Linked DNA regions of Drosophila melanogaster. The protein of the gene in region 2 purifies or fractionates together with the protein of the main gene of each other region. This does not show direct contact. Each region holds a gene or a part of one and is shown on either strand. Other genes may lie near its edges.

Region 1 (13,546 bases), on a different chromosome or scaffold from region 2:
AAAGTGTAGAAAAGAAGTGGAGCTAACAGGGCCAAAGTGCAGGCCATTTTTACATTGCGAAACGTTTGCTTCAAGTGTAAGTCATGCATGGGAAACTTAAACTCGGGGGGATGAATATTATAAAGAAAAAAATATATATTACATTTGTTATGATAATCTACGAACCGTTTCTTACCTTTTCTTCGGGCATTTTCGAGTTTCTCTGCTTATTTCGGGAAGAGAAATGAATGTGAAATGTATCTCAGCTTAACTCGTTGTTACATTGAATGCTGAGCCTACTATTTTTTAATATTTGCTTAACGATATTAAGCGACATAACAGTAAGCAGCTTTGTGGACCCTGGGGAATTAACTAATTCAACAAACACTTTTTGTCTGGCTTAGTGTCATATGTATATATTTTTTCGGTTATTTTGTTATGACCCCTAAGGAATAGGTGCTGCTTTCCCACGGAATTGTGGTTGTGTTGATTTACATCCTTTGTTAGGATAAAGCAGCGATGCAAATCCTTTTTTTCTCGGTAGTTGTTTGCCAAATCAATGCGGATAATTATGTATGGGATGTGAAAAAGGACATTGTGTAAATAGTTGTTCAAATGTCGTTTACTGTTGTTTACTAATGCAGGCTATTGAAGAGGTGCTTCCCTCACTAATATCCACAAGTACCCTTTGCTCGAGCCAACAGCAAATATTTGTTTATTTAAGCTTGGCTAAGCAATTGCAAAACTACTATGTTTATATGACAATTGTGCACACTACAGTCTATAAAATGTAATTTCTTTTTCTCTTTAAATTACCAGATTATTAATGCTTTTTCTTTCAAAGTTCAATCTGTTGTCCAGGTGCACTTTACTTAATTTTATGCTAGTCATTATTTTTCTTGTATTTAATGTCAGGGAAAATCTGCGCAGGGAATTCGAAATTTGCATTTGGCAATTAAATTTCTAACAAACCGCTTGGAAAAACACACCAGGAAAGTTCACTTTTTCTTCTCAACATTCTGACCATTCAACTTTGACCAGACGGCAAAATTTTTAAGTCTGTGCATTGAACCGTCGTGCAAAAAGACAATTTCAATATGTTTGGCGCCTCAAGGCGTTGACGGCATTTATATTTATAAGCCCGGACTTTCATTCCTTTTGCAGCCTTCTATTTCCACAGCGATTCAGATACAAGACTCGTACACTATTGGCAAAAGAGACATTTTCGAGGGCGTCTTCGATATGTCGAGTGACCATATATCTTTCGGCTGCTCAATCCGCAATCTCATGTCGATAGACTTTTAAGTGTGCTTTGAGCTAAGTAGGTGTAATCAAATTTAAGTGGAATTTTGAACTTATAATGGCTCTTAGCTGGAAGACTTACCACCACCGGTTGTGTCCAACTGTTGCAAACAAAAATTTGCGCTTATGTGCAATTTGCTTTTATCGCCAACGCAGACCAAAGTCATTTTAAAGTTTCAAACAAATAGAAAAGGTTTTGGTTGAATCTTTAAAGTTGCTAAACTTTAGATATATGTATATATTTTTTAAGATAATCATCTATATTAATTCAGCTTCCAAATATGGTGCGTGTCATGTTACAAAGATATCTCGTTACTATTTCTCCTTACTCCTGGCGGTTTGTTAGATAGTCTCGACTTTAATTTATTAAGTTTTCCCAGGACTATTACTGGGACCTTTTGATTAATATAAACACGAGAATCGCATGCTCCGAACAACCTGCAGCTCAGTGAACTTTGTCCCCTATCCCGGCAATTAGGATGGGAGGGCCAATGAACCCCAATACCATCTACTTTTGACGTGGTCGTGTCATTATTATCTATTACTTATGGCCCAAGTGGATGAATGGCCACGCCCCCACAACCACCGCCCTCAGCCCGGGCACTTCAAGCTAATTGTAAGTTATTGACACGAAACGTGCTCCGGGCTTTTGCCAATAACGGTGACGAAAGGGGTGACCTCCACGCCCACCTGTAACCGAGAAACGGCCACCGTTTGCGGTAAATATAACTTCCGCTGGCTTTTGAGACGCAGCTCGTCCTTTGTCCTTTCGCCACTCCAGGTGAATCATCAAACTAATTGAATTATAAATGCTGTGCCAGAGGTAAATATTGGGCATTATTTAATATAAATTCAGTAATGCTTGTTGTTTGTGCCTACAAATTGATGCAGAAATTCAATACTTCTTTAAAGGGCAAAACAAATATCAGGTTACAATAAAAATGTGTATAAAAGTATTCTAACTCTTAAAATGTATTGTGTTCGATGTTAACACAAACTGTGCCATGGAAACATTATAAAAATCTAATGGTATACTATGAACATTGTATTTGCTTACATTTGTCCAGTTCTACACTTTATTAGTTATTCATGAAGTTGGCGTGTTTTCTATTTTGCGTCCAGTTGAACACCAAATTCCATGTGGTTCAAGCTCCAATTAAACTGCCAAAGAACGATTCTGACTGACACGAAAGCTCAATTTTTGCCACTACAAACTGACTAAATGTGAAAAAAACAAACTTTTAATGCAACTATGGTGCTTGGCATGGAAATCTACAAACCCGAATTGAAACCAGAAGGGCAAAATCTTTCAAAGCCTCAAAAAGCATAAACATTGCCATCCCAGAATTATAACTTTCCTTTTAGCCTGCCCTCTGCTTCAGATTCAGACGGAAAAATGTCTTATGTGCAGGAGCATGGAACAAAGGAACTATAAAATCCATGTATGGCCAGTGTTCGTGTTATCTATCTCAATGTTAGTGGTGTTCGCTTGAGCTTTATGGGCCTTTGCCGGCAACGCCGTTCGCCAAAGGGTTCATTAGTCCTTCCAGCTACAACATCAAAGCCAATGAACGTATAAAATGCAGGGAAGGTGGACGCGGAAAGTGGAATGGTGAACTAACTGCAGTTGGTTGGTGGGGGGGGAGGGGTAAAATGGCACAAGCGCAAACAGCAAAATGCCAAACAAAAGCCAAGGAGCCAAAGCCATGCCAGAATGAAAGCAAACGTGACACACGACATTGGAACAAATTGCGTTGGCACTGCGGCGCAAAGTATGCAAAGCGAAAGGACGTTGGCTGGGTCAATATCCATCCATCCATCTATCTAACCAACGAATGGACCTGCTGCTCTGGCGAAAACTTTGCCGACTAGACCTGAAAAAAGTTTCATCTGGATAACTGAGAACTAGCGCAACTGGCGAGTGGCATCGAATCGATTGTATAATTGTCGATGCCAGTGGATATTTTGTTACGGCCCGATTAGCCTCCATTAAGCCAGTACCCGCCACGTATTCGTCCTTCAAGGACGTGTTTGATTTGCTCACGCACGCTAAGCGCAAAGTGCTGTCCGACATTCGAACGGCGTTTTTCTTTTTACGCCCCTTGGGGCCGTCATTATTCATTAGAGGTTGGCCAACTCCCCAAAGTTGGAATTCGCTATCAGCCGGGCACTTGCCTTTCCGCCTGCGGCTTGTTTTAATTAGTGGCCAGATGATAAGTAACCGCCTGTTTCCTGTTAACAACATTTTCCTAACGATTTCACTGAATAATTTCATTACGGACAAAACGAACTGTGTAATAGCCTTTGTGTAACGTATTCCTACAACTCATGTCTATTCAAACTATATTCCCCTTTAATAAACTACCAAGTAAAGTTTAAAAACACATTTGAATATAGTTATCGGCCAACCACTTGCAATCCAATATCCATTTTAAGGAATAAAGTAAGATATTGCTTATTGATTTACTAAACAACAAAACGAACTGTCAGGCACTTTGAATGCAACATATGTAGCCTTAAATTTATTGCTTCAAAAGAATAGTTTCCTTGGCCTTAGAATAAGAGGCAAAATAATTTATTAGGATTTTATTGCCACCAAGGCTTCACATATACTTCTCCTTTTTTTAACGCTTTTTGTTCCTTTCTGTGTACCATTTTATTAGATTACGAAATTGAATTTTTAGTGATATTTATTTGAAAATAGATACTTATATCGATGGACTCGACTGCAGCTTTCCATTCTGTTTATAATCACTTGTTTTCCCACACGATTAAGGTTGGTATTCATAATTCATTCAATAACAGCTAAATAGCTTGAAGACGAATGTGGAATAATACTTAAGAATACTACCAATAGTTACGTATGCTTAATGTAGTTAAGTATACGACCTGTACCCTAGTGTATCTGAATGGCAACTACTTAGATTGTAAAATTAATTGCCTCTTATGAGCCACTGTTTAATCTGCTTGGCCAACCGCATTGGTGATATGTATTTGTTTGCCTACTGCTGAGCCAAAATCAATTAATTTCAATGGAATTGTGACGGGATGTTTGTTGGACTCTTTGCCGAGTTGGAGACAATTGATTAAAATTGCTATGCCATACATCATGCTGCGACTCAAATTAAATTTACATTCAAAGTCGTTGGGACTTTTAATCTTGCCTTTGCCCACTCCATTCTGAGCGATTCTTTGGCAAGCTCTAAGCTGAAAGTACACATACTTAATTTATTTGCGCACAGCTCGCCGACCACAATTCAATTCTTTCAGTTTCCAAGTACTGACCGCACCCATGTGGCTACCACCGACTTATGACTACTTTTCCACTTGAACTTGGCGAAGGTTTTCGCTTGGCCAACAAGGGAGATTTTCATAGCCAAAAGGGGAGATCCACGACCCAGCTGAAAAATGTTGAAAAATCTAATTGCATTCGAATTTGTGCGTCCTTTGGTGAGATATACCAAATACCAAAATATCATATTTTCGTACAAGCTTACACTAGCTAATTCCGAGGAAATCAAACTTTAAGAATTCCGACTTGGCAGCTTAGCCAAACGTCCTTAGAAGCTGGATGACATCGAAGGGAGTTCACGAACAGATACGCCTTCTAAGATTGATTTTTGTTGGGAAACTGACTAATGCACACAAAGCTTTTCAAACAGCAGTCACTCTCGCAGTTTTCCGCAGCGCACAAGGTGCAAGTTTTCCCGCCTTGTTAAATTTGTATACTATTTGGAATTCAGCAGGAGGCACGTGCATAATGCTTATCCGTTCGAAGGATCAAGGTAACAGAACTTCTAAAACCGTTGAAATTTCTGAACAATTGGCATATTATTATTTTTTTGCTGTTTAATTGTTTTATTAACTGCTATATATAGTTAGTGTCATTACTTTGGGATCCTCTATATTCAAGGATAGCTTATTATAAAGGTAAATCTACTAAGGCAAAACAATCGTTAACTCTAATTGCGTTTCACAGCACTTAATTCCAAGATCCTCATTGGCTCCAATTTGCGTCATAATTTTTTGCGGGCGAATGAATGAATTCTATTTATAGGCATAGTTCCCAGGATATGCTGTGTTTATATTGGAACTTAAAATAATTTCCTATTCGTGTTTAATGATAAATTTACTTTGACTTCCCTTCGCAGGAAAAACAACTGCAGACTGGCAATCAAATGAAATTTGAAACCAAATATCACACAAATATGGTCTTCCGAATTCAGAGCGCGTGCGCGGTGAGAAAACGCGCCGAATGCCAGCCAAAAACAGCCGGCAAATGTCGGAAGAACAGCAAAAGTGCAATAGCAACCACAACGACGACAACAACTTTGCCACTAGTTCAAGTTCAATGCAACAACAACAGCCAGGAGCACGTGACGCACAAGTGGAAATGCAAAGGCCTGCCACAACAACACAACTTGGCTAACAGCTCTGTTAACTTGGCCAGCCAGCAGGCGCTGTCGCTGTCTGTCGACTGCCGCCGATTCGGACGCCGCCTTTCGTGTTGGCCCGCTTTTGCGAAACGAGCCGTCAGAATGTCGCGGCATCTCAAACGAATCGGACGCGAAATGCCAAAATCGAGCGGGAATTCGAACCCAGAACTCCGGGTGATATTTGAATAATATTTTCACTCGTTTTCGTACTGAATAAGCGGAATAACCGCTCGTGGTTGTGTAAGTTCGCCGAATGTTCGGATTCGACAGAAGCGCAATTTCTGAAATATTTATGATACTGTCAGTGCAAGTTAATAAATTGTGAAAAGCTGCACCGAGTTATCGCAAGATTGAGGATCTCAAAAGTGAAATGTTTCCAGTTGTTGAACAGTTCATTTCGTCCGACGGATTACTCGAAAATCGTATTGAAACGAAAAATATAAAACAATTTGCAAAAAACGCTTTAACTTAAAACCATAATGTGCGCCGCTTTATTCGTAAATAGTAACTTTATGACATTATTCTGATATTACTTTGAACTTAAAAAATATTCACTCCCAACTTCGAAATTTATTTCTTAAACATGATTGAAAAATACGTTCTCTTGCACCAAAAATTAATTGAAAATAGTGTTATTTAGGATAAATAATTGAACAACCACGTATACAACTCTTTCTTAAATCGAATAAATTTTACGGAAAACGGCTACGCTCGAATTATATATAATTAAAAAAAATCATTAAATGCACTTGCAAAATAAAAAGCTAAAATAAGCCTTTGTTTAAATGCCTATTTACACATACGATTTATTACAATGGAAGCATGAAGCTTTTTGCAAAAATTATATCTACTGAAAATGTTTGATATATTTTTAGAAGTGAACCACATTCGCGCCGAGCTAATTGGAAACAATAAAATAATTTTTGGCCACTAAACGATTGTGAAAAACGAAGGTCATTGTTACAACATGGTGGATTCGCAATGAGTGAACAGCAATTTTTGTTAATTCCAGCGCTACACTAAATACGTGAAGCGTTAAGGGAAAAAACAATATTTTCAAAAGCTATAACCATTTCGTTCGTAAAATATCTGCGCGGAACCCAAAAGAAATGTAACCTAAAAGATTTGGCGCATCGGAGTCTTACTCCTATAGATTTATACATATGGTAGTGCTTAAATTTGTGATTTAACTCGAGTGAAAATCTGGCTAATTCATTTGTAAGCTTTCTTAAGGACGAATTCAATCGAAATTGGGAACATATCCAAAACTTGGAGCACGTTCCAGAAAGATAATAGCTAATACTTAGAAGGATTTATCCTCCGATATTCTACCGCAGGTGAGAAAGTTTCAAATTAATAATTAATTCGGCTAATCTCGCAAATATGGATTATCTGACAATTTTGAGTCCACGATGTGAAGATTGCCGCATAATCGTCGGGAAATCCGACTTTCCGCACGTGAAAGACAAAAATTGAGTGTTCCCACGCAATCCCGAAGAGAACAAACAAAAGTGATGGCAGCGTGTCGCAGGTGTGCCTTAGCCCATTTGATTCGGATTGCGCCTTTGTTTTTTTTGGTTTATTTTTACGATTTTGATTTGCCTGCTGTGCGTGTCCCGATTAACAAAATGGCAGATTTGTATTTGCACAGGTCCTTGCCTATTTTTGTCATCACCACCACCGGGCCGAAAGCAACTCGTACAATCAGACAGAAGGCGGTTCATTAAGATACCTTTTGAAAAATGTGTTGACACGAGCCTTGTGATTACACATATGTACATGTTGTCCTCCACTCACATCCACTCACATTTTCCTACAGGAAAAATTAAGTGACTAAAAATTATTGACTAATATGGTTTTATGGCATTCCGCAGAGCAGAGCCAAAAGCTTCAGTGGAAACATAAAAACTTTATTCTAGACAGAAAAGAAAGTTTAAAGCCATAAGCTCGTTTTACAGCCAGAAATAAACTAGTTTTTAGGCACTGGATAACGTTGGTCATTTTGTTTCCTGCTAAATTTTATTACGGTCACAAAAGAGATTTAAGTTTTGCCTTTGAGATATTTTCTTACCGCATCCAAAAGTTGAAAACGTACGACAAAACAAATGGAAAAACAAGGAATAAATAAGGATTTGATTTAGTTTTTAAAATAGTTCCCAATACTTTCAGGCAGCAATAGCGTGCAACACAGCTTATGAATCACACGGACTTAATCAACACTTTCTTTCAGTTTAACGAAGCACTTAATACAAAAACAAAGCATCACTCGGTGAAATTGATTTATTTTCCACTTCGAAATCGAAATTCAAGACTCGAATCACCGGCTCTTAATAGATTAAACTTTGTCATCTGATTTGGGCATCATGGAAATCGCCTCCAGCCACCCACAAGTGGCAAAAACTAAATGAGGCGCAAATGACAAACATTGCCAACTGAACTATGAAGGTGTGAGATTGCCTCTTTTGCGCTGCGGGTCCTTTTTCCTGGCACTTTCTGTTGACGACAGGATGCTCGAAATTCAAATACCCACAGCAACATCGAATTAAGTTTAATTTAGGTTTGCGCCATCCAACCGTTTATTGGAATTTCGGCTTGTGCGAGGCGAACGCAAATTAATTGAATTATTTCGAATAAATTTATGAGAGTATAATCAGTTAATTTGTTTCGGCTCTATGGTAGTCAAAAGCTTTTAGCGCTGCGCATTTTTTTGCGATTTTTAAAAACCATTTAAAACTAATTAAAAACAGTCGGCTACAGAATTGTGCATTTTAAATCATTCCACTTAAAAGTGCAAGTACTTCGCTGGTTATTGTTGTAACTCGAAAAAAAAACTGAACATATAAAATGTAATGGGGCTTATAAAGGGAAATTTTTCTGTAAACTATGTATATACAGTATACCCTTTAGAATTTTCATTAGTATTTTAAGTTAATGAACCCTGGCTGATTAATTAAATAGCGGAAAGCAAAGAAATGAGGAAAGCAGAAAGGAATTCGAAACGTAGCAAGAGCTTCTGGAAGGCGAACTTTAATAAATATTTTCCAAGTATTGTGTCGTGTTTTGTTTTTAACTTCCTGTGATAATTTCCTTTGATTTAAAAATATATACATATTTTTTGCTCTTTAAGCTCGACTTTATAGGGTAATTTTGTGAAATAAAGCTTAGGCAGTGAACGTGAAGGTAATCTGACAATTTATGCCTCGCTGCTTACGACTTTCGTTCATATGTTGTATATATGTTCCATATATGTTGTATATGAGTTTTCTTTGCTTCAGTTGGCGGTAAAAAACTTTGGTTACGAGCCTGATTCTTTCACCTTTTTCCGCTGGGCAAATCCTACATATTTTGTAGCATATTTTTCGGCACTTGTGGGGGAAAATATGAAAACTCCTACGTAAAGCAATGTATTTTGTTTCATTGCATTCCGTGTGGTTTATTTCAGTCATAAACCAAGAAATTTGCATTGTGAAATTATTGGGAATCCGATATCAGGACATTTTTCATCAGACGAAATTGAATTTCTCGTGAATTCTCCCCCAAGTTCTTAAGATGCCTGAAAAAAGCCCACCAAACTAAAAAAAATTATATACGTTATTTACGATTTAAAGACCCACCATTTATCATATCTACTGGTCTGGGGTCAAAATTTCCTCTGTTCGCCCTGTTTACATAATGACCCAAATAAACATGTTTGTTGTTCTTAAGCGCCCTACAGTCGTGTACATTTTTAGAGTTCCATGTCCTGAGCTCAGCTTTTTGCCTAGCGCATATTAATGGCCGATTTGTCTGTGGCCCAAAGATATATGGGCCATTCCTAAATGGCCTGCAAAAGGAGGCATGCATAAGTACCTGTAAAATCCCAAATAAGAAGACTTTACTCGTTGAGTTTTTGTAAGAAACTGATTTTATTTGGAAATATCTTCGGTTTAAATAGGTGACATGAGAATCGCATCTTAAAGTAAATGGCCTACGCAGAGGCCTACGTAAATAGTCCCCGCCTTATCGAGGTCCCACGCTCGGGCACATCTGCCTATCTTGAGCGGCGAGGACCTTATCTGTGGTCTCCCACTAAGGGACTATTTTAGGAGGCGGGGAACGATCTCAAGTGACTGACTCATGTAGTGTGCACTTAAATTACATGTTTTTGAGCAATGCACCCATGTCGCCTTAGATAACAAAATCCTAAATATAATTTATCGCTCTCGATTCATTTACATAAGATATGAACGGAGCCCAAAATTGTAAGTCTTTAAATATATTCGTGTTCATGTGTGAACATTCTGCCAAAGGGCCAGCAAAGCTGAGATGTACATTAGTATATTAGTTGCATTTATAACAGTAGTGGGCTGTATTTATTTGATATATGTTCATTTATTTTGCAACTAAGATTTCAATGGGCCTAGTTTTTCTGGCTTTTAATTTTATTGGATTACAATTATGGTTTATATTATTTTTAATTCAACAATTTGTACTCAATTAACTTATTTTAAACATTTTGCTTTTTCTATGTAGAAGTACATTTTCTATTAGTGGACTGTATATTTTTATTTGTTATATTATTTTATTGTTTATTTACTATTGATATTTATAGTACTGGCAACGGACCTGCAAAGGTTATTGCTTGCATTCTTTGTTGCACAGCACATTTCCGTATGAAATATATTATTAATACTATCATTAGTATTAAAGCAATAATTAATCCAGCATGTCCGGAAATATGATGGAAATGTAAATCTTTCAATTTTTGATGGTTCTCTTTCATAAATTTAATTTCATTATTCAATCGTTCAAATTCCTCAGTATGATTTAATATTGATAGTTTCAGCGGATCCCAAATAATCTTCGGCACTCCACTAACTTCTCCTATATAAGGTGTTGATAATAATTCTTCACTTTCGGACTGAATGTTATGGTGGGCAACTAGAATTTTATCGTCGGTTCTTGCCGTACAATATGGCGCAATGCTTAAAACTCCTTGCTGAGGCAAATCAAACAATTCAATTTGAGAGCCAGTACATTGCAGACGGACTTTTGAATTCGCAGGAACCTTAAACAACCAACTACTTTTCTTTTCTAACTCTACCCAGTAACTTTTAGAGTCGACTACTGTTTTATAGATGCAGTTCGCCGCTTTATCTGGCTTTAGAGGCTGAATCTCACATGCATTATCATTCGCTGAATTCCAGGGCCAACTTCCTTTGATTATCCGATCTTCATTTCGAATTGGCACCGGAATAAGCCTGAACAATTTGGATGGATGCCTGCTAAACAGAGGCACTTTTGCACTAATGATCAATTTATCGTCGATGAATAAACCCCTGGCTGTTAACAGTGTATACACCTCCTTAAGTTCCGTACCTGACCGTTTTCCTGGAATTACTAGGTTCTCTGAAAGACTCTGCTGAATTTTGGCAATTTCTTTTTTAAGCTGATTTGGCCTGAGAATATTTGTATTTAGCCTACCGTGATTAATATCAATCAACAGGCTTATAATGCCTGCTTGAATTTTTTCGCCTTCTTCAATCAATGAGTGTAGCTGTTTCGTAATCATAAAGAATTTTATTGATTCCTTATAAACATAATAATTTTCTTTAAGAACTTCTGTCATGTTCTCAATTCTTATTTGCATACTTCTAAAATTGGAGTTAACATCTTCTGTTGTTCTCTTTAATAGATTAGAAGTTGAATCAACCACAGATGTTTGTTTTTGAATTAGTTTATCAAGGTTGTTCTGGTTATCTAACAAATTCTTCATATTTTCTTCTAATTGCTCTCTATCATCTTCATCCATTATACCAAATAAAATATGATACAAGGAACCCATAAATTCGAAAGGAGCACGCTTGCTTCTAGATCTAGACTGCATCATAAACAATTTATTGTTTTCTTCAAGTTCCGATAACTGACTTTGCATATTATCTAAGACTAGACTACATTGCTCTTCAAAGCTATGAAGTCTTTCGCAAACTTTCCTCATACTTTGTATAAGCGCATTACCCTTTGTTAACATTTTAAAATATGGATCCATTTTATAATAGATAACCAAATTCCAAGAAGTACTCACAATCTCAACATCTCCTAGCGGGTCTAGATATATTGCTGAGGTTTTATTTATTTTGTCTATAGAATATCTTGGTGCTATATCTTTAGGTAATGCGCTAGAAACTTGACAACTTAACACAAACAACAACATTGCCATAATGATTCCGATCTTGGACATTCCCGATGTCGCTCTAGTTCGTCTTTTTGGCTCTTGGTCAGCCTCATTTTTGTCAACAGACTTTATTCCTTCCAAGGGACAAATTTTAGTAATGGGTCTAGTGATATATCCTTCCTGCATCTTTACTTTAGCCACTCGGACCTTATCATCATTCCCCTTATGCACCTTTTCCACCTTTCCTAAAGGCCATCTTGCAGGATGACAATTCTCATCCTTTAATAAAACTATTTGCCCTTCTTCTATATTAGGAATTTCCTTTTTCCATTTATTCCTTTGCTGGAGCGTATGCAAATATTCACTTTTCCACTTAACCCAGAAATCTTTCTTCATTTTTTGGATAAGTCTCCACCTATCCAAATTTCCGATTTTTTCATCTTCCATTGGTTCGACTATTTCTAAAGGTGGTCTTCCAATTAAAAAATGACCTGGTGTTAAAACTTCTTGTTGGTCCTTCTCACTAACTATAGTGTATAATGGCCTTGAATTTAAGCATGCTTCTATTTGACATAAAAGAGTTGACATTTCTTCATAAGTCAAAATAGTGTCGCCGATTATACGCTTTAAATGGTATTTCATTGACTTAACTCCAGCTTCCCAAATACCTCCGAAGTGAGGTCCTGCCGGGGGAATAAAATGCCAATCAATCCTGTCCTTTTCAAGCTGCGCTGCAATCGTTATATTTTCTTGTATTGCATTAAATAACTCTTGATCTAATTTTCTTGCAGCTCCTACAAAATTTGTTCCGTTGTCTGAATAGATATTGGAACATTTTCCCCGTCTAGCAATAAATCTTCTGAGTGCTGCTAAAAATGCGTCTGAAGTTAGATCGCTTACCATTTCTAAGTGTATGGCTTTGGTGGCCATGCAAACGAATACAGCAACGTATCCTTTAAATGTTTTTTGGCCACGATTTTTTGAACATTTAACATAATAAGGACCTGCGTAATCTATTCCAGTATTAAGAAACGGGAATGTCATCGTCACTCTATATTTTGGCAAGTTACCCATTATTTGCTGAGCTGTATTTTGTTTATACCTTGCACACGTTACACATTCTCTTAAATACTTTTTCAACGAATTTTTCAACCCGAAAATCCAATACTTTCTTTGGATATAGTTTCGCATTAGGTTTATCCCTCCATGCAATGTTTCCTTATGAGCATTTTTTATTAATAAGCTTGTTAGGTGGCATTTTTCTAAAATGATTGGATGTTTAACATTAAATTCTGCATTGGAATTTTGCAATCTTCCTCCAACTCTTAGAACCCCATCCTTGTCCAAAAATGGATTCAATGACAATATTTTATTATTTGTCTTGATTTCCTTTTTGATTTTAAGGCACTTTATCTCTTGCCTAAACTGGTATTCTTGTTGTTTCTTAATAACAACTGTTTCCGCTATTCTTATCTCCTTTACTGAAATAATTGATGAATAGGCTTTATTTCTTGTTTTCATCTGCACGAATCTATTTATGTATGCTATTATACGTATAAGTTTTTCTATACTGGAATACCTTTCTATTAATTCGTAAATAGGATCATCTATTTTGTCATTTAATACCGTATTTATTAAGACAGGTTCTTCTACAGACTGCTGCCGAGGCCAAAGT
Region 2 (11,632 bases):
GCGAGAGGCTGTGAAGAGCCCTAGACTACGGATCACTATCGAATTCGAAGTCTTCAGATGTTCGATGTCAGACTGACTGTCTGTTTATCCGTCCGTGCGTCCAACACGCGCAGGCCTCTTAGTCAATTGCGTCTGTCCGTATGTCTGTCCGTATGTATGTATAATAATGGGTGAGCATGTCTAATGCGTGAGCTGGTTCGGCATTTCTATATGTTTATGCTCTGCTCTGATAGTTCCATTCAGTCGCTTTTTTTTTGCGCTCACCCACACACTTGATTGATAAATATTGATCCTGATTGAATGATCGAAAGCTTGCGAAAACCCGAAACAGCCATTCCAGCGATCCGTTCGGACCCGAGATCCAATCCAATCGGCAGGCCTGCGGAATTATTGAGAGCTCAGGTTTTGAAGTTCCTCTGACAGCTGCTCAATCAAATCGAATCAAATATTTGGGCTAACTAAACAAAAACCTTTCTTAAAGAGCCCCCAATTCCATGCCCACATCGATGATGTCTAAATTCTGGAAATTCGCAAAAATCAAACTCAATTACTGCCGCTGTCAATCAGCGGCAGGAATCGAATTGTGAATCGCCGGCATCCAAATCGGAATAGGAATAGAGAGGCATGCGTAAGAGGCATTTGTTGTACTCGTACTCCCATAGCTAGGTGGCGTATCTCAAAGATACATTTCACTTAACTGTATGGCATATATCATCCATTCAACTGCGGCACAGAGCAGCCACTACCATGACAGCACACGCAGATGGCGATGCTGATGCCGATCTAGATGGGAATCGGGGGTGATATGGATGGGGACGGGAATGGGGATCGCTGGGAGCCGGCCGACGTGCGTTGACCCTGAGACTTGCCCACACCCACCCACGCAACGCGAATAACATAAACTAATAGGGGTTTATATATATATATATATATATATAGATGCACAGAGGGAAACATGCTTTCCGAATCAAGACAAGACACTATTTTCGATTCCAGAGTCAGAGCCCTGACCAATTTGGATTTGTTTAAAAGAACAGAAAGTAGTCACCATGTGGTAATAATTTAAATATACTAAACAAAATGCGAATATATACACCCAAATTCCCTTTGCCCTTCAGATACATTTTCGATCAGTTCAGTACAGTTGAAATTGAATTTCTAAAGCAGCCATTACTTTTGTCAGTGTATCAGACTGTTCCTTGAGTTTAAGAACTGCAAATCATATCCTTGCAAAAATATTTATGGGTATCATGTGGAAAAGACTTGAAGTGAGTTGAAATTAAAAACATTTTAAAAGTAGCAGAAGTACAATGGCTAGCACCGCTCTATCGCCATAAAAGATGAGTGCTCGCTGAAAGGCATAGGATCATAAAAATTGACTAGAATTCAAGTACATACGCATGCATAACTCAATTTCCCGCTATCCATCCGGACTCTTTGAACTGTCTGCTAGTCTGTTAGTTCGGGGAAAGATATCCGCCATCTGTAGATGATTTCGACCCTAATCCGTCCCTGAACCGATCCAGAAATTCGCATTTCGCAAATCGGTTCAACACACGACGCTCGACTTTCAGTAATGCAACTCCTCGAGTGGCTAATGCACTTGCAAAAGACTTCAATTGAAAATTTTCATTTACACCAGGCTGGCCGGTCATTCAATGGATATGAATCGGTTTTATATAAGACTCCAAAATGAATATTTCTTCTGAATAATGCCTCCGTTCATTGATTCCAAAAACGTAATTGAATTCACAATGGCTGTGTGTCTGTGTGTGTCAGTTTGCCTGCAGGCGGCATATTCTTCAGTATTAGAAGTGGAAAAATTGTCGAAATCAAAATCGCACAGCATAATGCTACGAGTATAATGCCATATAGCTAAACTCGAGCCCAAATTATGTCGATTCTGCGCTGCATCAGCACTATCTCCGATTGCAGCAGCGAATTGAGCGGCTTTTAGCTTTGGATTTGGCATATGGCCTGATGTCCAATTTCTGATGGCTTTACTTTTGCTTTTGCCTTTGCTTTTGGGCTGACTGACTAAGCCTAAGCTTTTGTTTTGGCAATCAAAAGGAGCTTATTTCATGGAACTGCACATGCCACACACATTACACTGCTCGAAATGCCAGATTAAGCGGGAAAACTATATACATAGTTGGAATGTAATGAAACATCATCGCCAACTTTGGGTACACAGTGCTTATTAATGGGTAATTTCCGATAAGTAATGCATTTAATCTTAATTTATTTTTATAAACAATACTTGTTTTTTTTTTTTTTAACTACTGAAAATACTTTAATAATTTGTCAGTTAGTTTTTGAATAAAATACAGTTGCAAATAATATTTACCACAGCCATCGTTTTATTAATGAATAGGTAATGAACAGGTAAGTGGAATTTTCTTCCAGTGTAAGCACTTGATCCGACTCTGATTGCAACACCAATCGGCTGTCCCAGCTGTGCCACCACTCAGCTCCACAGCTGCACTGACGACGATCCAATCCGATGGGTGCGAAGATCATCTGCGTGGCTCGTGGAAGATGCCAGGTGAGCCGGGAGTTCGCCTTGAACCATTGACATTACTTGAGGCGCATTTTATTTACGCCCAGCATGATTAACTGATTAACTGACTGACTGACTAATTGACTAACTAACTGACTAACTGACTGACTGCCTGGCTGTTGGCCAGTTGGCTACTTGGCTACTTGTCCACTGGCCATTGCATAATGCATCATGCTAATAGGGAGCGGCACCGGGGGATCGAAGATCGAAGGCGCGACTTCCTGTAGACTTCGGTAGCGCCGGCAATTGTTACAATGATTTACGACCATGCCACGTTGGCAGCTATAAATTGCTAAATGGCCATTACAGCATTAATTACACGACCGACCAAGAGTTGTGAGTCGAATCGAAATTGAAATTGACCTTTTGCCCCGCCCAGACTGCCGGTCTGCAGAATGAGTTATTATCTTGTAATTGTCACTTACCAGCGGTGTGCAGATATGTTTCTTCGATCTCGATCTGGATCGGAGTATGCAAATTGGAAGCCAGAACCACTCGATGTCCATGTAACCAGCGATGTCGGTTGGAATTAAATTACATTGCTGTCGACATGACAAAGTGTGCGAATACTTAACTAACGAAACAAAGGAAATCCACCAACTGGTTACAATACATAACGAAAGGAATCATTAATGTGATTTATGAACATGTTGCCTCATTGAATCAGAGAAAAATAGAAATTATCATCGCAGTTTTATCTAAACTATTATTAAATGCAGACAGGCCATAAACCATCCGTTTGTTGAGTGTCTCTGGGGAATTCCTATTACTCAACCTTAAGAATCATCAAAATATAGAGGAAATTGTTTACAATCATTTCGTTTCCGATCTTGCAAGTCATAAACATCAAATTAATACAATAATGCATTTAACAAAAATCGTATGAAATAAATCGAACAATTTTTGCTATATAATCCCAATATATCGATTGTTATAGAAAATATCCCTTTTTTTTCGGTCCAAGCTGTCATATTTTTTGACCACTTTCAACACTTAGTTTGTGGCCAAGTCAGTTTTGGCAGGTGGAAAATAGTTGGCACTCGACTTGGCTGGAAACACACCCCGTTGTGAGTCGGCAACCACCACCATGAGCGCCAGCGAAGGCATCAGTCTCCCGGGCAACGAGGAAACCACTCCGCCGCATGAAAAACATAAACAAAAGGCCAAGAAGGCCAAAAAGAAGTCCCGGAGTGCCAAAGAAAGTGTTCCCAATGCAATGGACGCGAAAGCCACTGCCAGCTACTTTAGTTTGAGCATCGTGGGCCAAATAGTCTCGGCCACCTTTCCCCTGGGTCCCGACAAGGAGTTCGTCTTCCTGCGCTACGAAATGGTCGCTGGTCCCGACTGGCAGCTGTCCTCCGGACCCCAGCACGGACTCACCCAGCTGGCCACCAATAGAAGGGGCCATTTCAACGAACCGATTGTCTTCAATATGCCCATCGAGGTGACCTACAAGAGCACCAGTCCATATGGCTGTGAGTAATAGTACAGAATCGATTAGTTTACTATATTCTTTCTCAGCTCAGCTATTAACAATTTTTCGAATCAGATTGAAGTTACACCAACAAGATCTCCAATTCTTTTGGTTTCCAGGGCCACAGATCCTGGTGACCGTGTTCGGACGCAGTGGCCTGGGCAGGGAGACACTACTCGGTTACGCTCACATCCACCTGCCCGTTTTCGGCAGTCGTCGTCCAGCGGATCAGACGGAGCAGCTGCAGGCGCCCATCCTGATGCCCAAGTGCCCCAACATGATGGCGGACATCACCAGTTGGCTGCTGCGCCGCGAGCCGGAGCTGAAGGACCCCAAAGTGCTGCTGGACAACCTGAAGTGCAAGGGACTCTCTATGGAGTCGTACGGCAGCCTACAGTTTCAGCTGTCCTCCGTGATGAGGGGCGCCCGCAAGCTGGGCTACCATTGGCACTCCTGAGAGAGAGAGTCGAGTCCAGAGTGTGTTAGTAAAACGTGAACTTGAGGAAGCAGGAAAGCGTTTGTCTTAATCTAATTGCCGGGTGGGTGGTACCTCAAACTTGACCTTGTCCGTTGTGGCGGCTAAGACGATTTCAAAATGACGCGACTGCTGCTAATCCAACGCAGCAAACGAGCGGCAATCGAAAGCCCAATTCGAACGGTTAGCTTTGGATTGGCCAAGTGCCGGCTAATTGGATTAGGGCAATTAGTCTAAGACGCGTTGTACACAAGTGGCCATATAAAGACCAGACGACCATGGTCCGCCCCAGGCATTGCCGCCGAGTTCGCGTCCCGAGAGTCAGCCGTCCTGCTATGGACAGCGAGTAGTCGCCGCAGCAGAGTAGCCAGCCATCCAAGTTTAGACGAAGCCACCACCGAAGCGCCACCAGTACCAGCCATTCGAAATGGCCAGCCTGCATCCCCCGAGCTTCGCCTATATGCGCGATGGGCGCAATCTCAGCCTGGCGGAGAGTGTGCCCGCCGAGATTATGCACATGGTGGATCCGTACTGGTACCAGTGGCCTCCATTGGAGCCCATGTGGTTCGGCATCATTGGCTTTGTGATTGCCATTCTGGGCACCATGTCGCTGGCGGGCAACTTCATTGTGATGTACATCTTTACCTCGTCGAAGGGACTGCGCACGCCGTCCAACATGTTTGTGGTCAATCTGGCCTTCTCCGACTTCATGATGATGTTCACCATGTTCCCGCCGGTGGTGCTGAATGGCTTCTATGGCACCTGGATCATGGGTCCCTTCCTGTGCGAATTATACGGCATGTTTGGCTCGCTCTTCGGATGCGTTTCCATCTGGTCGATGACACTGATTGCCTACGATCGTTACTGTGTGATCGTGAAGGGAATGGCCAGGAAACCACTGACGGCCACGGCGGCTGTGCTCCGGCTCATGGTCGTGTGGACCATCTGCGGAGCGTGGGCCCTGATGCCGCTCTTCGGCTGGAATCGGTATGTGCCCGAGGGCAACATGACCGCCTGCGGCACTGACTACTTTGCCAAGGACTGGTGGAACAGGTCCTACATCATCGTCTACTCCCTGTGGGTCTATCTCACGCCGCTGCTGACCATCATCTTCTAATATGACATTCGTTACTAATTATCCAAGGATTCTGTTTGATTAAGGATTGATTTTGGCCTTTCAGGCTGTGGCTGCCCATGAGAAGGCCATGCGGGAGCAGGCGAAGAAGATGAACGTGGCCTCCTTGCGGAACAGCGAGGCCGACAAGAGCAAGGCCATCGAGATCAAGCTGGCGAAAGTGGCACTGACCACCATATCGCTGTGGTTCTTCGCCTGGACTCCGTATACCATCATCAACTACGCGGGCATCTTCGAATCGATGCACCTGAGTCCACTGAGCACCATCTGTGGATCCGTCTTTGCCAAAGCCAATGCCGTGTGCAATCCCATTGTGTACGGATTGAGGTAATATCTAATTAGCTTCCTACTTATCTATCTATATGACCAATTTCTTAATGCATCTCCTGCAACAGCCACCCGAAGTACAAGCAGGTGCTACGGGAGAAGATGCCATGCCTGGCCTGCGGCAAGGACGATCTCACCTCGGACTCGAGGACACAGGCCACCGCCGAGATTAGCGAATCGCAGGCTTAGGCGATTCGAAGACGACGACGACTGCAGACGTAGGGAACTGACAGCTCTAGATCTACAAAAGACTCAACTATTTTGCAAATGGCACCTCAAGGAAAAACCCAAAAAAAAAAAAAGATGGCAATGTAAAAAAAATGTAAAAAAAAAATATAGTAAAAATATAACAGCAATTGATACAAAATCAAATCCACCCAGTTTATCAACTAGTCAAGTGTGCTTTAATCAAGCACAGTGCCCCAAAGAAGTTTGTGCCTTTATTGGTAAGTAACATTTCAAGCATTTCAACCATTTGCCATAGCCATTGGATCACATAGTTCGTTAATCGAAGTCGTTGCCAGTTTTGGTGTCAGTCCAAGTTGGTTCATCTGGGGATATCCTTAGGGGTAGTAGGTGTTCAGGCCGAGGTCCATCAATGTGCCATTGTGGCGCCTTTCTCGCAACTCCTGGGTGAAGAGGGCACGCCCCTGCAGCAGTATGAAGTCGATGAGCCTCCTGTTCGAGCTCTGACGCAGTGCATCGGGGTCGGATCGCTTGCGAAGGTAGTTAAAGCAGCATGTGCTGGAGTAGTAAAATGTATATCACTTGGCGAACTCTTTGAATATGTTAGCTTACCGAAAGTGCTTTGTGCCACATGCGCTGGCACACTCCTTGCCACAAGTGTCGCATTTTATGGCCTGCGAACTGGGGGGGCACATCAACCAAATGCCTTGATAAGCCAAAGATTTAGTTACAAAACCTAAACAATGATTGCTCTTAGTTGAAACTCACATAGCAAGATGATCTGGAAGTGAGCCAGCCAATGCATCGTTGTCTTAGTCATTGGTCGGCCGTCTGCTCAGAATGCTGTGCCACTCATATGATCTTCGCTTGGTGTCCTGTTTCGTATCCCTGAGAAAGCGCAAATGAAAGGACCGAGTTGCCGGCTCCTGACTTTATATACTCATCGGCTGCAGGACAGTTGCCCACTTTGAGATGCTGGCATTCAAAGTGGTCAATGAAGCGTGTGGCGGATGAATAGCCAGGACGAGGACTCCAGTGGGCATGTGAACATGGAGCGCATATTAAGTAAGAGCACACAGACAATTGCAGCTTGCGCAACAAGTTTATGGGTTTATTTTGGGGTTGTTTGGGGCGGGGGTCGTTTGGCAGCCGCAAATCAAAGCAGCTGGACGCAGGTTGTAAAACTTCTTAATCTAGTTGGCAAGTGGCAAGTTAAGCATATTAAAATTGTGAGCAACAGTCATCAACAGTCAGTGGCAGGACTACTGATTTCCCTAGAATGAATACGGACGATATTGGGTGTTGTTACATAGTTTGTGCGCTAGTCAGAGTAATAATTTTTCTTATTTTATCCTAATTTTTAAGTATTTAGTCATTGCACTTAATTTTAATGCCGCAGGCGTATTTGTAACGGTCTTCTATTTGAATTTAAACTTACGATATTCGACATTCAACATATTTTCCAAAGTGTGGCAACACCAGCAAGTTTCCTTCATCAGTGTGACCGCTTTTAGTATTTTTCAGTATTTTCGGTGGAAGAAGAAGCCTGCCCACTCTGCGCTTTGGGAATTGAATAAACGTAAACATTAACTTAACTCCAGCTCTAGTCATAAATATCTATTGAATATGTGGGAGCCGCCACGATTGAGTGCATCTCTGCGCGCCAAGACGGAGCTGGAGGCCCGTAGCCGGCGCTTGAACGTCCTGCGGCAGGCGAGAACCACCTCTGCTGCTTCCACGACGACGAACAGCCAAAAGTGAGTAGCGATTTCACCACCTGTGAAATTTCGTTCAATTCCGCTCCTCTCCAGCAAGGAGGAGCAGACCATCGCACGGCTGCTGGCTCAGATGCCAACCGAAAAGCAGCCGGCCGCTAAGGTGCAGCTACAGAAGCTGCGCAATCTGGTGCAGGAGTGTATGGGCTACGAGGAGCAGCCACAGGTGGTGGAGCACGCGGCGCTCTTCCTCTTCTGGCTGCTGCTGGATCAGCGGGTGCTCCTGGTGGCCACCACACAGCGGCTACACGGCATGTTCGGACAGACTTTCGATCGCAAGAAGACCCAAATTCACGACTGCGTCCAGGCCATCGGCGATCTGCTGGAGGATCACGAAAGATCCGCGCTCAAGCGGTGGCGACAGACGCATCACAAGGTGCCTGGAGTGGGTCCACTATGGGGCGCCCATATACATGTCAAGTGCACGCCCTCCGAGTGGATGGACATCAGCCTGCTGACTGATCTAGCGCCGGATGCGCTACTCAAAAACCGAACTGTCAACAAGTTCTCTATGAAGCACACAACCAAGGCCGCCCCAGTGGCGTCCACGAGCTCGGAAGCCGCCAAGTTGAGTCCAGAACTGCAGACTCTGCTTGAAATCTCCGCAAAGCTGGACGACGAGCACCTAATAATTCGCGTCGGCGACATTCTCGGTTCCCAGCGCAGCAGCGAGGTGTTGCAAAATGAACTTATGGAAATCCTAGGATTTGATTACTTTGAATTAGTAGAAAAACTGCTCATGGAACGGGACAAGATCGCTCGCCAATTAGATCAGTTCGCCACACGATCCCGCCGCGTCATGGAGGTGAAACAGAAGCGCATGGAGGCGGCTGCCAGTGGTGGAGCTGCAGAGCGGCGTCCCACCGTCGCCAGCGCCGTCGTAGTTCAGTCGGCCCAGGAGAAGCAGCTGAGCAAAATGCAGCGGCGGGAGGAGAAGAAACTGCAACGCATTATGCGAAGCATTAAGGACGAAGAGGCCGAGGATGATCCGAATTGTGCGGTTGCCGTTTCCGTTCAACAATTGCGCATGCAGCACCAGCGAAAGCTCTTGGAGGCAGCGCAGCGGGAGCCTCTGTTGCTCAGCACTAAGGCGGCGAAGGCGGAATACAAACAATCCTCGTACAACCAGCCCATCCACTATCCCTATGTGTTCGACAGCCAGCTGCTGGCGAAACAGCACGCTGGCTTTATAGGTGGCAGCAGAATCACTCTGCCCGATAACGCACAGCGCATAGATAACAAACAGTGGGAGGAGGTCAAGATCCCAGCGAGTGAGCCACCTCCGCTCTCTGTTGGCAACAAGCGCGTTCAAATCGAAGAATTGGACGACGTGGGTAGACTGGCCTTTGCCAACTGCAAGGAGCTGAATCGCATCCAGTCAGTGGTCTTTCCGGTTGCCTATCACAGCAATGAAAATATGCTGGTTTGCGCGCCCACGGGAGCCGGAAAGACGAACGTGGCAATGCTTTCCATTGTGCACACCATCCGTTGCCACCTGGAACAGGGAGTCATTAACCGGGACGAATTCAAGATCGTCTACATTGCGCCCATGAAGGCATTGGCCGCGGAAATGGTTGATAACTTTTCGAAGCGCCTGAAATCTTTACAAATCGCTGTGCGTGAACTGACGGGTGATATACAGCTGACCAAGGCGGAAATGGCTGCCACCCAGATACTAGTCACCACGCCGGAGAAATGGGATGTGGTAACCAGAAAGGGTAATAATAATATTCTATTTTTTTTTTTGCAATATATGCTAACAATATTACTTTCCAGGCAGCGGCGACGTGGCTTTGATAAGCCTGGTAGAGCTACTCATCATTGATGAAGTGCATCTTTTGCACGGTGAGCGAGGTCCCGTTGTGGAGGCATTGGTGGCTCGAACCCTCCGCCTTGTTGAGTCCTCGCAATCAATGATTCGCATCGTTGGCCTATCCGCAACCCTTCCAAACTACATCGATGTGGCTCACTTCCTGCGGGTGAATCCTATGAAGGGCCTATTTTATTTCGACTCGCGCTTCCGTCCTGTTCCACTGGACACCAATTTTGTGGGCATCAAGTCGGTGAAGCAGCTGCAGCAGATCGCTGATATGGACCAGTGCTGTTACCAAAAGTGCGTTGAGATGGTACAGGAAGGTCATCAGATTATGGTCTTTGTCCACGCCCGGAACGCCACGGTGCGAACGGCAAATGTGATTCGCGAACTGGCCCAGCAGAACAATACCAGTGCCCTGTTTCTTCCCAAGGATTCCGCTGCTCACGGACTTGCAACGCGTTCGATACAGAGAAGTCGGAACAAGCAACTGGTGGAGCTATTCTCTTGCGGCTTGGCCATGCACCATGCGGGTATGCTACGCGCCGATCGTCAGATGGTTGAGAAGTACTTTGTCGAAGGTCACATCTCGGTGCTGGTCTGCACGGCCACGCTTGCCTGGGGTGTCAATCTGCCGGCTCACGCTGTCATTATCCGAGGCACAGATATATACGATGCCAAGCATGGTAGCTTTGTGGACCTGGGCATACTCGATGTGCTGCAGATCTTTGGACGCGCCGGTCGGCCACAGTTCGACAAGAGTGGAGTGGGTACCATCATCACCAGCTATGATAAGCTGAATCACTACCTGTCGCTGCTGACCAATCAATTCCCCATCGAGTCCAACTTCGTCAATTGTCTGGCCGACAATCTGAATGCGGAAATTGGTCTTGGCACAATTACCAATGTGGACGAAGCTATCGAGTGGCTCAGTTACACGTAAGTTGATACAGAACTTCATTAGATGGATCATTTGTTAATATTCTTCATTTTATAAAGGTACTTGTTTGTGCGCATGAGAATAAATCCTCACGTGTACGGTATCGAGTATTCGGAGCTGGAGAAGGATCCCACGCTGGAAGCCCGCCGCCGTGCTCTTATCATGTCCGCAGCGATGAGTCTGGACAAGGCTCGAATGATGCGGTTTAACCAGCGCACCATGGACATGAACATCACGGACTTAGGTCGCACTGCATCTTATTTCTACATTAAGTACGACACTGTGGAAACTTTTAACGAGCTGATGAAGCCATTTATGACCCAGGCTGAGATTTTGGCCATGATTTCCCAGGCGCAGGAGTTTCAGCAACTCAAGGTACGCGATGACGAGATGGAGGAATTGGACGAACTGAAAAACGCCTATTGTAAGATAAAGCCATACGGAGGAAGTGAGAATGTACACGGCAAGGTAACAATTGATCTTTTGCAATGCTTTTGCCAAGCTTAATTTGGTTTTGATTTGCTAGGTGAACATTCTGATTCAGACATATCTTTCCAATGGTTACGTGAAGTCCTTTTCACTGAGCTCCGACATGTCATATATTACCACGAATATAGGAAGGATAAGCAGAGCGCTATTCTCCATTGTACTGCGCCAGAATAATGCAGTACTGTCGGGAAACATGCTGCAGCTTTGCAAGATGTTTGAACGTCGCCAATGGGACTTTGATTGCCACCTAAAACAGTTCCCAACCATTAACGCTGAGACCATCGACAAACTTGAACGACGCGGTCTGAGTGTCTATAGGCTGAGGGATATGGAGCATCGCGAGCTAAAGGAGTGGCTTCGCAGCAATACCTACGCAGACCTGGTTATCCGGTCGGCGCACGAACTACCCTTGTTGGAAGTGGAAGCAAGTCTGCAGCCAATTACTCGAACGGTGCTGC

The links.
Region 1: the proteins of Trissin (region 2) and TrissinR fractionate together in Drosophila melanogaster (co-fractionation; one study listed by BioGRID). This does not show direct contact.

What each region holds. Positions count from the first base shown.
Region 1 is NT_033779.5:5,818,196-5,831,741, forward strand, and holds the start of TrissinR (trissin receptor), read left to right. Parts: upstream 1-6,598; 5' UTR 6,599-7,054; intron 7,055-13,546. Other genes in the region: COX6CL (cytochrome c oxidase subunit 6C-like), read right to left, coding at 1-101, 176-190. UniProt on the Drosophila melanogaster protein: G-protein coupled receptor which is activated by the Trissin peptide in vitro, leading to increased intracellular calcium ion levels.
Region 2 is NT_033777.3:15,478,360-15,489,991, forward strand, and holds Trissin (trissin), read right to left. Parts: upstream 7,038-11,632; 5' UTR 6,978-7,037; coding exon 6,926-6,977; intron 6,864-6,925; coding exon 6,770-6,863; intron 6,716-6,769; coding exon 6,535-6,715; 3' UTR 6,371-6,534; downstream 1-6,370. Other genes in the region: B9d1, read left to right, coding at 3,648-4,035, 4,154-4,491; obe (obelus), read left to right, coding at 7,784-7,914, 7,969-9,650, 9,709-10,684, 10,745-11,153, 11,212-11,632. UniProt on the Drosophila melanogaster protein: Activates the G-protein coupled receptor TrissinR in vitro, leading to increased intracellular calcium ion levels.